Linked DNA regions of Xenopus tropicalis. The protein of the gene in region 2 interacts with the protein of the main gene of each other region in a pairwise test. Links are inferred from orthologs where the notes say so. Each region holds a gene or a part of one and is shown on either strand. Other genes may lie near its edges. The genes, in order: txlna, rint1 and epc1.

The links.
Region 1: the proteins of rint1 (region 2) and txlna interact in binary tests that used the Homo sapiens proteins (3 or more experiments, as listed by UniProt). The two-hybrid records come from large-scale screens. The link is inferred for Xenopus tropicalis from reciprocal best matches to the Homo sapiens genes RINT1 and TXLNA.
Region 3: the proteins of rint1 (region 2) and epc1 interact in binary tests that used the Homo sapiens proteins (3 or more experiments, as listed by UniProt). The two-hybrid records come from large-scale screens. The link is inferred for Xenopus tropicalis from reciprocal best matches to the Homo sapiens genes RINT1 and EPC1.

The regions. Positions count from the first base shown.
Region 1 is NC_030678.2:86,591,382-86,595,135, forward strand, and holds the start of txlna (alpha-taxilin), read left to right. Parts: upstream 1-1,327; 5' UTR 1,328-1,565; intron 1,566-1,944; 5' UTR 1,945-1,953; coding exon 1,954-2,080; intron 2,081-3,754. UniProt on the Homo sapiens protein: May be involved in intracellular vesicle traffic and potentially in calcium-dependent exocytosis in neuroendocrine cells.
Region 2 is NC_030679.2:77,093,448-77,097,201, forward strand, and holds the start of rint1 (RAD50-interacting protein 1), read right to left. Parts: upstream 2,706-3,754; 5' UTR 2,412-2,705; intron 591-2,411; 5' UTR 584-590; coding exon 362-583; intron 1-361. UniProt on the Homo sapiens protein: Involved in regulation of membrane traffic between the Golgi and the endoplasmic reticulum (ER); the function is proposed to depend on its association in the NRZ complex which is believed to play a role in SNARE assembly at the ER.
Region 3 is NC_030682.2:22,939,793-22,943,446, reverse strand, and holds part of epc1 (enhancer of polycomb homolog 1), read right to left. Parts: intron 3,092-3,654; coding exon 2,932-3,091; intron 2,744-2,931; coding exon 2,598-2,743; intron 2,516-2,597; coding exon 2,309-2,515; intron 594-2,308; coding exon 445-593; intron 1-444. UniProt on the Homo sapiens protein: Component of the NuA4 histone acetyltransferase (HAT) complex, a multiprotein complex involved in transcriptional activation of select genes principally by acetylation of nucleosomal histones H4 and H2A.

The DNA.
Region 1 (3,754 bases), on a different chromosome or scaffold from region 2:
AAAACCCTACTCCACTTTTTGTTTTTTCCCCCCACACATTTGCCTTTTATATTATGCTACTCTATCTCAACCCAACATCCACTGTATACCATTCTTCCTTTAATCATTGCAGCCCAATTCTTTTCTTCTGCATAGACCCCCACCTTTACCGTCTGATGTCCCATAACATCCAAAAATTTATTTAGAGCTTTGCCTTCAGTTAATACTAAGGTACCTTAAAAGTAGTATAAATAATGCTGTAATAATTGTAAATGTGATACCATGAAAGTATACTGTGATATGGGAAAGGAGTGCGCCAGCAGTAGTCATGAGGCCCATACTACTAAGCAGGACCCTCCCCTCCAATTATTTGCCCACTGGTCACACAGGGACCCTGCGTGGTAGGCCCCTGCCACCTACCAGCATATTTATTTTATTTTGTGCCCAAATAAAAGAAATATGCCCCTTAGCATATTAGCAGAATTTTTAATTGATTATATTTTTAAAGTTTTTTTCATTTCCATGAGATAAAACTATTACATTTTCATTATAGTTGGGCTTGGCGTGGTTTTGCTTGTGCCTGCAATTGTGTCAGGCGCAACGTCCCTATGTGAGAACAACAATGCTGGAATTCTGAGGGAAAAAAGCTGCATTTTGGAAAAACAGTGAGTTCCACAGTAAAATCGCAGTTAGCAAGGCCGCATTGAAAACAAAATGGGCCACACGTTTTTGAGTGGGTGACCCCCACTAGCAGCCCCATCTTGCTAATGTCTTTGTTGCTAGGGCCACTAGGATTTTATGAAATACTGGGGGTCAATATGTTATTAGTTATGGAAACAATGTTTGAGGTATCATTATTCTTGTGACTGACAAACTAACAATGTTAATAAAAAGAAACGGTATCAAGGGCATATTATTTCAATTTAGAAATGTTAAAAAACTTTCAATAAGCCTTTGCTTTATTTTTATAAATATAACCTGTTTAAAACGAGAAAACTATATGAACAGGGTCAAATCAAGGGTCACAGTTTAATGAATCTTAGTTATATATAACAAACGAGCGCACAAAAAGGTGGTACTCATGCGTACGACTGCGCACAAACAAGGCTTATAGGGAATTGTAGTTTTTACTTTCGCGCCTTTGCTACCGCCCTATACAGTTTCTGTTTCCTTATAATCAACAGCAGCGCCGATAAATCTTGCTTCCGAACGCAGAGGTTTCCGTTAGACCCGCCTCTGAGAGCGCATTGGCCTTTAGGCTTGTTGGAGCTGCGTGTCATTGGCTAAGAAGTGTCCGGCTTGCGGCCTGGATTTGTGCCTGTGCCTGTGGCTTCCGGCAGAGAGTGAGCGTTACCGGAGCGGATGCAAGAGTGAGGTAAATCCGGTTATTAATCGTGTCCTCCGGGAAAAGGAGTCAGCGCAACCTCACTGGCAGGGACAACAACTTTGTGTGAAACAAGTGTACAGTTCAGCGCTTACACAAGGAACAGACCAGAACTACATCATTTGTCATACTGCTGCATCGCTTGAGGTGCAGCTTCCGTGTGTAGAGCGACAAGGACAACATACAAGTTTGCTGACAACAGGTAGCATGTAGTGGCCCTGCATAAATAAAACAATTAAGAAGTATAAAATGTGGGGGGATGCAAATCTTCAGTTTAGGTGTGGAGTGCCCATTATGCAGACTAGTAGTTGCCCCAAAACCTACATTAGTAAGGGTTGTCATGGCATGGGCCGGACCTGGAGTTACTCTGCACATTGAGCTATGCATATCCAATGTGCCAGCTTATGAGTTATCTATTTCTAGGTGGTTAACTACTTGATAAGTTAGTGGTTAATGCTAACAAGGTTCATTGATTGAATTGTTTTATACCTACAAACATACAGGGTTAACTAGATTCTTAAGAAAAAAACGTGAAGTTTCTTGTTTACATGCCATACTTTGCTTCTGTTACCTTTTGTTAGAAGTGAGTCATGAAGGACCAAGAACTGGAGAATGGCACAGCCAAAGGGCCTTCCCCTACCTCATCAAGCCCCTCACTTCCTCCAGCCACAGATGAGAACGTGACTACACCTGGAGTTTGTCACCCTGCTACTGAAGGTTAGTAGTAGCATTTTTTTTATAGTGGGTGTCGGATTTTTTCAGTTCTGCCTTCCAGCATTGAAGATTCAACCTTTGGTCAAGACCTTCTTTAGTTCATTAAAGTTATCAGTCATTTAGACTATTCTCTCAAGCTCCACCCTGTAGCCTGATTTTTAAATAAGTGGTATATGTGTTTACAAAATAATAAAGTAAAAGAAAAGGAAAAGGGGAAACTAAAATGGAGGGAGGTAAAAGGGGAAACGAAAAGGTGCAATAGAAGGGAGAGAAAAGTACTTCACTAACAAATGCTGTTTATATACATGAGGGATACCATTCAACTAAGCATAACTCTTACTAGCCCTTTCCCAGGATAGCCACACCCAAAGAACAGTCACAGCTAGGTTGATGTTGTATGATGACCCATAGAATTCTCCAAGTTAGTAGTGTCCTTTAGATGATTAGTTTCCCAAATAATGGTATTAAAGGAACAGTAACGCCAAAAAATGAAAGGGTATAAAAGTAACTAAAATATAATGTGCTGCTGCCCTGCACTGGTAAAAGTTGTGTGTTTACTTCAGAAAGTCTACTATAATTTATATAAATAAGCTGCTGTGTAGCCATGGAGGCAGCCATTCAAAGGAGAAAAGGCACAGGCACATAGCAGTTAACAGATAAAACACTATTGTATTCTACAGAACTTATCTGTTATCTGCTATGAAACCTCTGCCTTTTCGCCTTTTTTCCAGCTTGAATGGCTGCCCCCGTGGCTACACAGCAGCTTATTATATAAATTATAGTAGTGTTACTGTAGCAAACACACCAGTTTTACCAGTGCAGGGCAACAGTGCATTATATTTTTATTACTTTAAAGCTCTTTCATTTTTTGGTGTTACTGTTCCTTTAAAGGTGTCATGTAGGTTACAGTGTTGTACAGACTGTGATTCTCATTCTTGAACTTTATTCCCATGGTCTAAAAACCTGTTCTACCACCTTGAGGGTATGAGCAAATTGCTATTCATTGCCTTTTCGCCCTGCTGGGCATCCTTTTGTTGTTGTTCCTTTGTTTACAGTTGTTGCCTTCACTTCATACTGGTCTGTGGGTCTCCTCCTTGTCCATCACAGGTGTATCTAATTCACACAACAGCGTTAGGAGATAGACTTAAAAAGTAACTGCATTTTATGATGTGATAGCCCTTGGTCAGCTGTTGCACTGTTCCATCTGTGTTTATATTATACACTACCCTGAGATCAGAGTCACTGTTAACGCCTTAGGGTTGTGACACACTGGAAGATTAGTCATGCGCGACTTATCTCCCCGCAATGCCATGCCACCGGCTAGAATGTAAATCGCCGGTGGGATGGCACTGCGGGGAGATTAGTCGCACCACAATAATGGAGATTTGTTACGGAGCAACTAATCTCCCCTTATGTCACAAACCTTACATGATTCATAAGTTCAGGAACAACTCTGATATGGAATATTACAAAGGCCCATATATTTCCATGTCAGACAGTCAGGTACTTGGCGCGGTCCCAGTGGTCAATCAGCCTGAGCTGATATGGGTCTAAAAGGGCAAGATAGTCAGATCTGACCCACCACACAGTGGGTTCAATAAGCAATTCTGAATTTGTGGCCTGATCTCTTTAGTGTGTACATATTTATGGCCAGGTTAGCGACTTTAACTTTAATAA
Region 2 (3,754 bases):
ATTTGTGCAGCTTAATACTGCAAGGAAAACTATGGTTGGAAAAGGAATAATTTTTAAAAGACAAGATTGACATAAAGGGCTGATTCCATGTTCTAATCCTCTGAAAGATCAATACTTTGGGTGCAGGTTGGAAAGCAGCTTTTGATGGTCAGGTGCATGTTAGAAGAGACCTGCTAATTACTAGTAGGAAGGTTTTGTCACTACTTGATGGGATGACACCCCAAATCACACCACATGCCCTCTCATCAACTTTTTACTTCTAACTGCAGCCAATGCCCTTTAATCTTTAGGGCTGTTCTTGAGGTAAGAGATCACATCATCATCCTTAACAGGACTTAAAAATATAACCTGCTGTACTTACTTGCTCCTCCAAATGTTTCTTCTCTTCTTTAATGGTTTCTATGAGGTTTGAAACGTTTTTCAGAGACTTGAAATCATTTCCTATCTCCTTTTCTACAAATTCACACACATACAATGGAATCTCACATGTGTCCAAATCCACCAGTCCACAGATGTCACTCGGGTTCTTGTGGTCACTTTGATTGGAAGTGCCGGACTCTCTTCCAGTCTCCAAAGAAGCCATAATTGACCTGGGGAACAAGAAAAAGCATATTTATTAAAAGAAAAAAATAAATAAATTCAATTTTTTTAAATAAAAACACTTTTTCTTTTGTATCAAGTCCCTATGTGTGCGGCATTCTTTCTATTATATTTTTGTTTTTGACCTGCACCAAGGGCATTTGGATTCTGGATAACAGATCCAATACCTGTATGCAGATATATATACAGGAATGGGATCCCTTATCCGGAAACCCATTATCCAGAAAGCTCTGAATTACGGAAAGTTCATCTCCCATAGACTCCATTTTAATCAAATAATTCAGAATTTTAAAGCTGATTTTCTTTTTCTCTGACATAATAAAACAGTAACTTGTAATTGATCCCAACTAAGATATAAATAATCCTAATTGGATGCAAAACAATCCTATTAGGATAATTAATATTTTTTTGGTTTTTTAGTAGACTTAAGGTATGGAGATCCAAATTACGGAAAGACCCCTTATCCGGAATACCCTTGGTCCCGAGCATTCTGGATAACGGGTTCTATACCTGTATATGTATGTGTGTTTGTGTATATCAAATGTAAAAAAGGGGAGTACTTCCTCTATAAATACAAAGGCAGAGCTAATAGCGCTGAAGCAAGCTAAATGGTTATCAAAATAAGCTGTCTCTAAACTTCAGAGCTGTTGCAGAATAACAAACTCAGCAGAAAGTGTGTTGATATCTGACAATAATCCAATAATATGAATAGCTACTTTAATCAAACTGGTGAACATTTACATGCAGCAAAGGGCTTCCACCTCATATTTAGAATGAATCACCTATAACATCACCATTCTGCACAATTGATGACTAATCATGTGATGCATGCAGAACACTGCACTGTTTTTTATGCAGCCATGCACTGCACATCTGTGTTTATTACTCATCATCCCTGCGTAAATGGTTTTAATAGGCATCTGATTACTTAGGAATGGGGTTTCCAGATATTCCTATGAATCCGAACCTCTACAATCAATCTATACTGCATATTAAAAAGGTAATAGGTTTGTTGCATGACACACAGTTGTACAGAGGCCAACATAGGCTGCATTATGGACATAAAGTTCTAAGCCAGTGATCCCCAGTCAGTGGCTTGTTAGCAAGATGTTGCTCACCGCCCCCTTGCTCCCAGGGGCCTCAAGGTTGGTGCCCATTTTTACATTTCTGGCTTGGAGGTCAGTTTTACTCCAAGCAGAGCCTCCTGCAGGCTAGCAGTCCACATGGACTGCCAAATAGCCAATTACTGTGCTTATTTGGTACCCCTAAAGACATTTTTTAATAATTATTATAAAATACATATATTTAATATTTTTAAAAATATATATCTTGGGTTTTTGTTTTCCTTTCATTTAAGAGGAATCTGTAGTTTACAAGTTGACATCTTACCTGTCAATATTGCTATATGAAGGAGCACATGACAGCGGATCCACGTTCCTCTGCCTGGTTAAAAAAAGCAGGCAGAAGAAAGCAGATCTACTCCATCAATATTGTTTACCACTTGTACTTTAGGGCTTCTATACGAACTCAAAATGCATTTATTTATTCATTCATTAAAAAATAATAAAATCTTATACATTACTTTAAAGCATGGTGTTTTTCCCTGCAAAATCATTAAGATGCAATGCATTTCAGTGAAAACAACGTTTTTGTGTCAGTTTCCAGATCAATGCAAAAATGATTAGCACAATAATAGATGCAAATGCACACGACCCTAACTTGTATACACAAGCCGCCCCTGGGGAGAAATTACTTATTATAAAAAAAAGAAATTCAACCAAGGTGATGATTTTAATTTTCAAAGGAGTTACCTCTTCTGTAGATCAAGCAAACAGTTCGTCTGGGAGTTAGTTTCGGGCCCAGAGCCCACGACTCAAAGTCACTTTCGCAAATTGCAGTCCCGGGGATAATTTGTAGGTCTTTCGTAACGCATCTTGCAGCAGTCCCTGTGACAGCCTACACACTGTCACCAGCACTAAACACACATCACTTCCTCAAGCTGAACGCTCAGCAGCGGTACAAACACATCACTTCCGGTGACTTTGGCATCTCTCCCGCACTGCATACGTCACTTCCCAGTTCTGCGCCCTCTCACCTAAGCTGCAGACGTATAACTTCCTGCCCCAGTTCTCTCTGTAAAACCACAACTTTATTAACAAATTCGGCGTTAAACAAAAATGGACTCAACTGGTAGCGGAAATATAGCCACAGTGGCACTAAACAAACTATGAAGTTCCTGGCTAACTAGCAGCGTTATGAATTGCAGCCGCACAGTTAGAGAGCAATTCTCTCTGCAGCAGCCACGTTTTAAATCTTTCGCAATTCTAACGTGAATAATAATGACACCCTGCTGAATGAATGGCTATAAGTTAAAGGGGAATGCTTTTTTTTTTTTTTAAGTCCTTCATGAAAGAAAATCGATTCCAAGCAATGTTCTAATGTACATGAGTAGTTTTAGAGTTGTAAATGTGTTTGTAATTTGATGCACTGTTTGTCCTTTTCTGGTCTGACTTTTGCAACAACGTACCAAGAGCCAGCTCTTACCTAGCTCTTACCCAGCTCTTACCTAGCTCTTACCCAGCTCTTACCTAGCTCTTACCCAGCTCTTACCCAGCTCTTACCTAGCTCTTACCCAGCCATTACCTCAATACTTTCCATGCTTATTCAAGCAGCTGGCTTTTGCAATGCAGAAAACATAAACATGAAAAAAAAGTACTGGTCCGTTTTTGACTTCCTAATCAATAGCCTAAGTACTGTTTTCAGTTGCAATTATATTGCATTTAAATTTGTAATTAAGGAAATATGGGGAAAGTTGAATAGGCCTTTTTACAAAAAACAACAGGCGGAGCTCTGAGGAAACTGCCTTTAGTTTTTATAGTCTGCGGTAGGCAAATTAGATTGAGAGTGCTACTGAAGCAGGGCTGTGATGTGCTGGAACTATATCAGGGATGGTTTAAGGCTGTGGCCCCCAAAACCACAGGAGGCCTTGGGGCTAAAACATATAAAAGTACAACAAATTTTTAAGGAATATGTAAAGCCTACAATGTAAATCAGTTGGGAACATCTCCCCCACCCAAATGGCATCATTTGTACTACATATATCCCCTCCCACCCGGTGGCCATTTTTCTTACATACTCAGATACATTTAAATCT
Region 3 (3,654 bases), on a different chromosome or scaffold from region 2:
TGGTTATGTTTAAAAACCAGTTACAAATCATATTGCACAGCACTCTAGAAATAATTTAAATAAGCAAGGAACTTCAGCACAGAGTCAGGCACCTGTAGCAAAAGCAACAAGTACAGGCTAGAACTTAAATGGGGCCCTGTACCACTTCATAGACCGTAAGATGGCCGCAGCTTTAAAATACAAGAAGGAAACTTTTCATTTATCATTAGTGCTGTTCCTGCCACAAGGCAAGCCGAGTTGGATCCAGATGAACATCTGGTGTTATTTTATTTTGACCATGCTTATTTGTAACTAATAAAAGCAAAACATTAACTTACTTAAGTCTGTTGGCCCTGGACAAAACTAGGCACCTAACCTTTACAGAGTTTTTGTACAGCACACAGCAAAAAGCATTTTACCTATAAAATCAGAAAAAAAATCATAACAAAAACAGCTCACACGTACCTCTTTTCCATTATTTCCAGTGTTAAATGAAGCAATTCCCGCTTGCTCTTTTCTCTCCTTTTTATCATTTCTAGTATAGTGACAGCCCGACTGAGATCCCGACGTAACTTCAGCATTTTTTCATATGAAGCTTCGTCATTCTTTCGATTCTAAGTAAGGAAGTTATACACATTATATCAAAGACAATAATAAACACCGCTAATTGGGTAAAGCAAATATTAATACTAAAATGAAAGTATCATTTTTGGCAAGTTATATTTTTCAGTAACATAAGTCAATTATGCAAAATGATTATAATTTACAGTGCGACAATAGGTCCTGTAAAGTCACAGTGAAAAATAAAACTTTTGCATAATTTCTAGCACCCAAATAAATTCTGTACTAAGCTGTATGACTACTCAAATTAAAACTCAAATTTTGTTAAAGGAGAAGGAAAGGTAAAAACTAAGTAAGCTTTATCAGAAAGGTCTATGTAAATACAGCCATAAGCACTTACAGTAAAGCTGCACTGAACCCCCTATCAAAAGAAACACAGGATTTTTTTGTCTCTCTTTTTGTAAATATGATATTCCAGTGTCTCTCAGAAACATCTTTGATTCCTGTGGCCAGAGTCTGCAGAGTTCTCTGAACTCCGTTCCCCCTCCCTTAGGTATGTGTGATCTCCGCTATAACAGCTGGAGCTGCAGGCAGGGAGCAACTGAAAATGGCAGCTGCTGTCTTAAAAGGAGACATATTGGATAAATGAGAAAAACCCTAATTTTGTAGGCAATTATGAATAATATACGGTGCTGGTTTCACTTTGGGCTAAACATTAATCCGGTCTGTAAAAATGGCCCCTTTATTGGAGCTCCCTATAGATCCTATCACTTCTCTGTCTGAGTGAGAAATGAAGAGTGGGCGTGTCCTAACAGTCCCTGCCAGAAGCACAGCAAGAGGGGGAGAGCCAATCACAGCCCTGCACTGACACAAGCAAAGACAGGCTTCAGTTCCCTATCAGGTCAGCCTAGGTGCTGATTGGTTCCTATCCTACAGTGCAGTGTACTGAGAGCTGCCAGCTCCCCAGCACATCCAGAGAATTCAGTCAGCAGGAAGTGTAACAGGTGGGCGGGGCTAGTGGGGCTTTGGTGGAATTTCTCAATAAATCAGTCTTTTTAAGCACAATCCTTCTATATCTAGGAGGAGTTTAATTCACTGGCACATTCATAATTTTTATAGGATATGTCGCCTTTAATCAAAGGGAGAAAGCTTCCAAAGCTCTTTACTCAGGTATGTTAATGGTTTCTGCAAAATAAATATAGTGTTCTAGGTGGCACTAATGTGGCAAATCTATTTGCAATAAAATGCTAAAATGACTTTCCTTCTCCTTTAAAGAATTTGAATCTGTTCATCCAGCTACAAGTAAACTATTTCTTGGCAGCAAATATCCTTTCTATAACCGTAAAGTACATTTAAAGTTCTGTAGGGAGCCATAAATTCCATCATTTGTGACCTTTATATTTCTGGTGTTGAGACTAAAACCACTGTATTTTACACAGCTTTCTGCTGATGTACAGATTTGCCCTACTGTCCAATAACATCCTGAATGTCTGCCCCATTGCTACACAGCAGCTTATTTACGTAAACTGTATCAGAGTCTGAATCAAATAAACAAAATAATTACACAAATATAAAAGCCACTGCGCATTCATATCAATAGGGAGCAAAAACAGGCTGTTATTATTATGTATGGAAAGTAGGTTTCAGGCTACGGATAACAGACAAGAGAGAACACCACTGAGGTAAAGTCGATAATGCAATATAGCTAAACCATATTTTGACAAGCATTGCTTAAGATTTAGAATAGTTAAGATAAGACATGACAAACCTTTCTTGTTTGCATTTTTTCTGTACGCCGTCTAAAGGCTACATAAGGATCACTGGTGCTGGAGCCATCTCGCTTCTCCTGTTTAACTGTTGGTATGACAGAGGAGGCACGGCTGTTTTTCCGTTTCTTAATCCAATAGTCATATACTTCAGTAATCAACTCATCATCTTCTTTTAACAAGAGTTTGGCCTCTTGGAGATTAACTGGCTGGAGAATAGATTTAGAACAGTCAGTAAGCGGTTACAATGCCAGGTTCAATGCAGGATTGCAAAAATGACAGCATTATTACCTGCTGCCCACTGCCCTTTTCTAATCGATCAACCATCTCTTCAAACTGGAGTGAAGAGATATCCATTTTCTTTTTCAGCTTATTCAGAAAGGCATCATCTTCAGCATCCAAGTCATAATCTGGCTGTTCAGCATCCAAACTAAAAGCTAAGAAACAGAAAAATGACTCGTTAAATGACAATTTCTTCACCTTTTTCTCAGACAATCCTGATTGTGTGTGATCTAATTCATGTATCAGACTTTGTATTATGTACCTCAATAGAAGTCAGTCAACGATACAAAAACACACACCACAACACTAGAAAGATTACGTCTAGATACTTTTTGGAACTTACGCTGTATGTGAATAAGCTGCTTTGGCATCTTAAATTCCCCTGGGTATACAGATTCATAATATGCAATGTTACTTTCTGCCTCTGGAACAGGAATAACCATGTTATCCCTTTTCTCTCCATACACCTGCAGTGCTGAAATGGCTCGCTGGAGATGATGTTCCTAATGGGAAAGAAAACAAGTGTGTTATAGGAACATATATGTCTTAGCAGAACTCTTAAGGTTAACATCCTTACACATTTTACATGTAATATGTTGCTATATAAAAGGGAATCCGATTTAAGCAAAGTGACACCAAAATTTTAGTCTGACTAGAAATCATCAATTTTTAATTGCCAAACTGTTTTATCATCTGTGTGCGTTTCAGGTTATATTTCAGACATGTTCAATACAACATATTGGTACCGCATATTGAAAACCGCACCGGGGTACCTGCAGAGAGTGTTTCCTCTTCCTTATTTCTTCTGTCTTAGGAATCCCTGGGCCGGCACATGCGCAATAGTGAAAAAGCAAGCGCACGTAGACAGAAGCAGGAAGAGGGGACACTCGCTACAGCTACCCCAGGCTGGTGCTATTTTCTCCTAACAGGGGCACCAGCCCAGGGTAAAAGGTAAGCTATTAAAGTAAGGATCTTGCCAGACTAATTTAGTCGCCTTTTATGAGGAGGTGAGTAGGAACCTTGATGCTGGAATGGCAGTTGATGTCATCTACTTGGACTTTGCTAA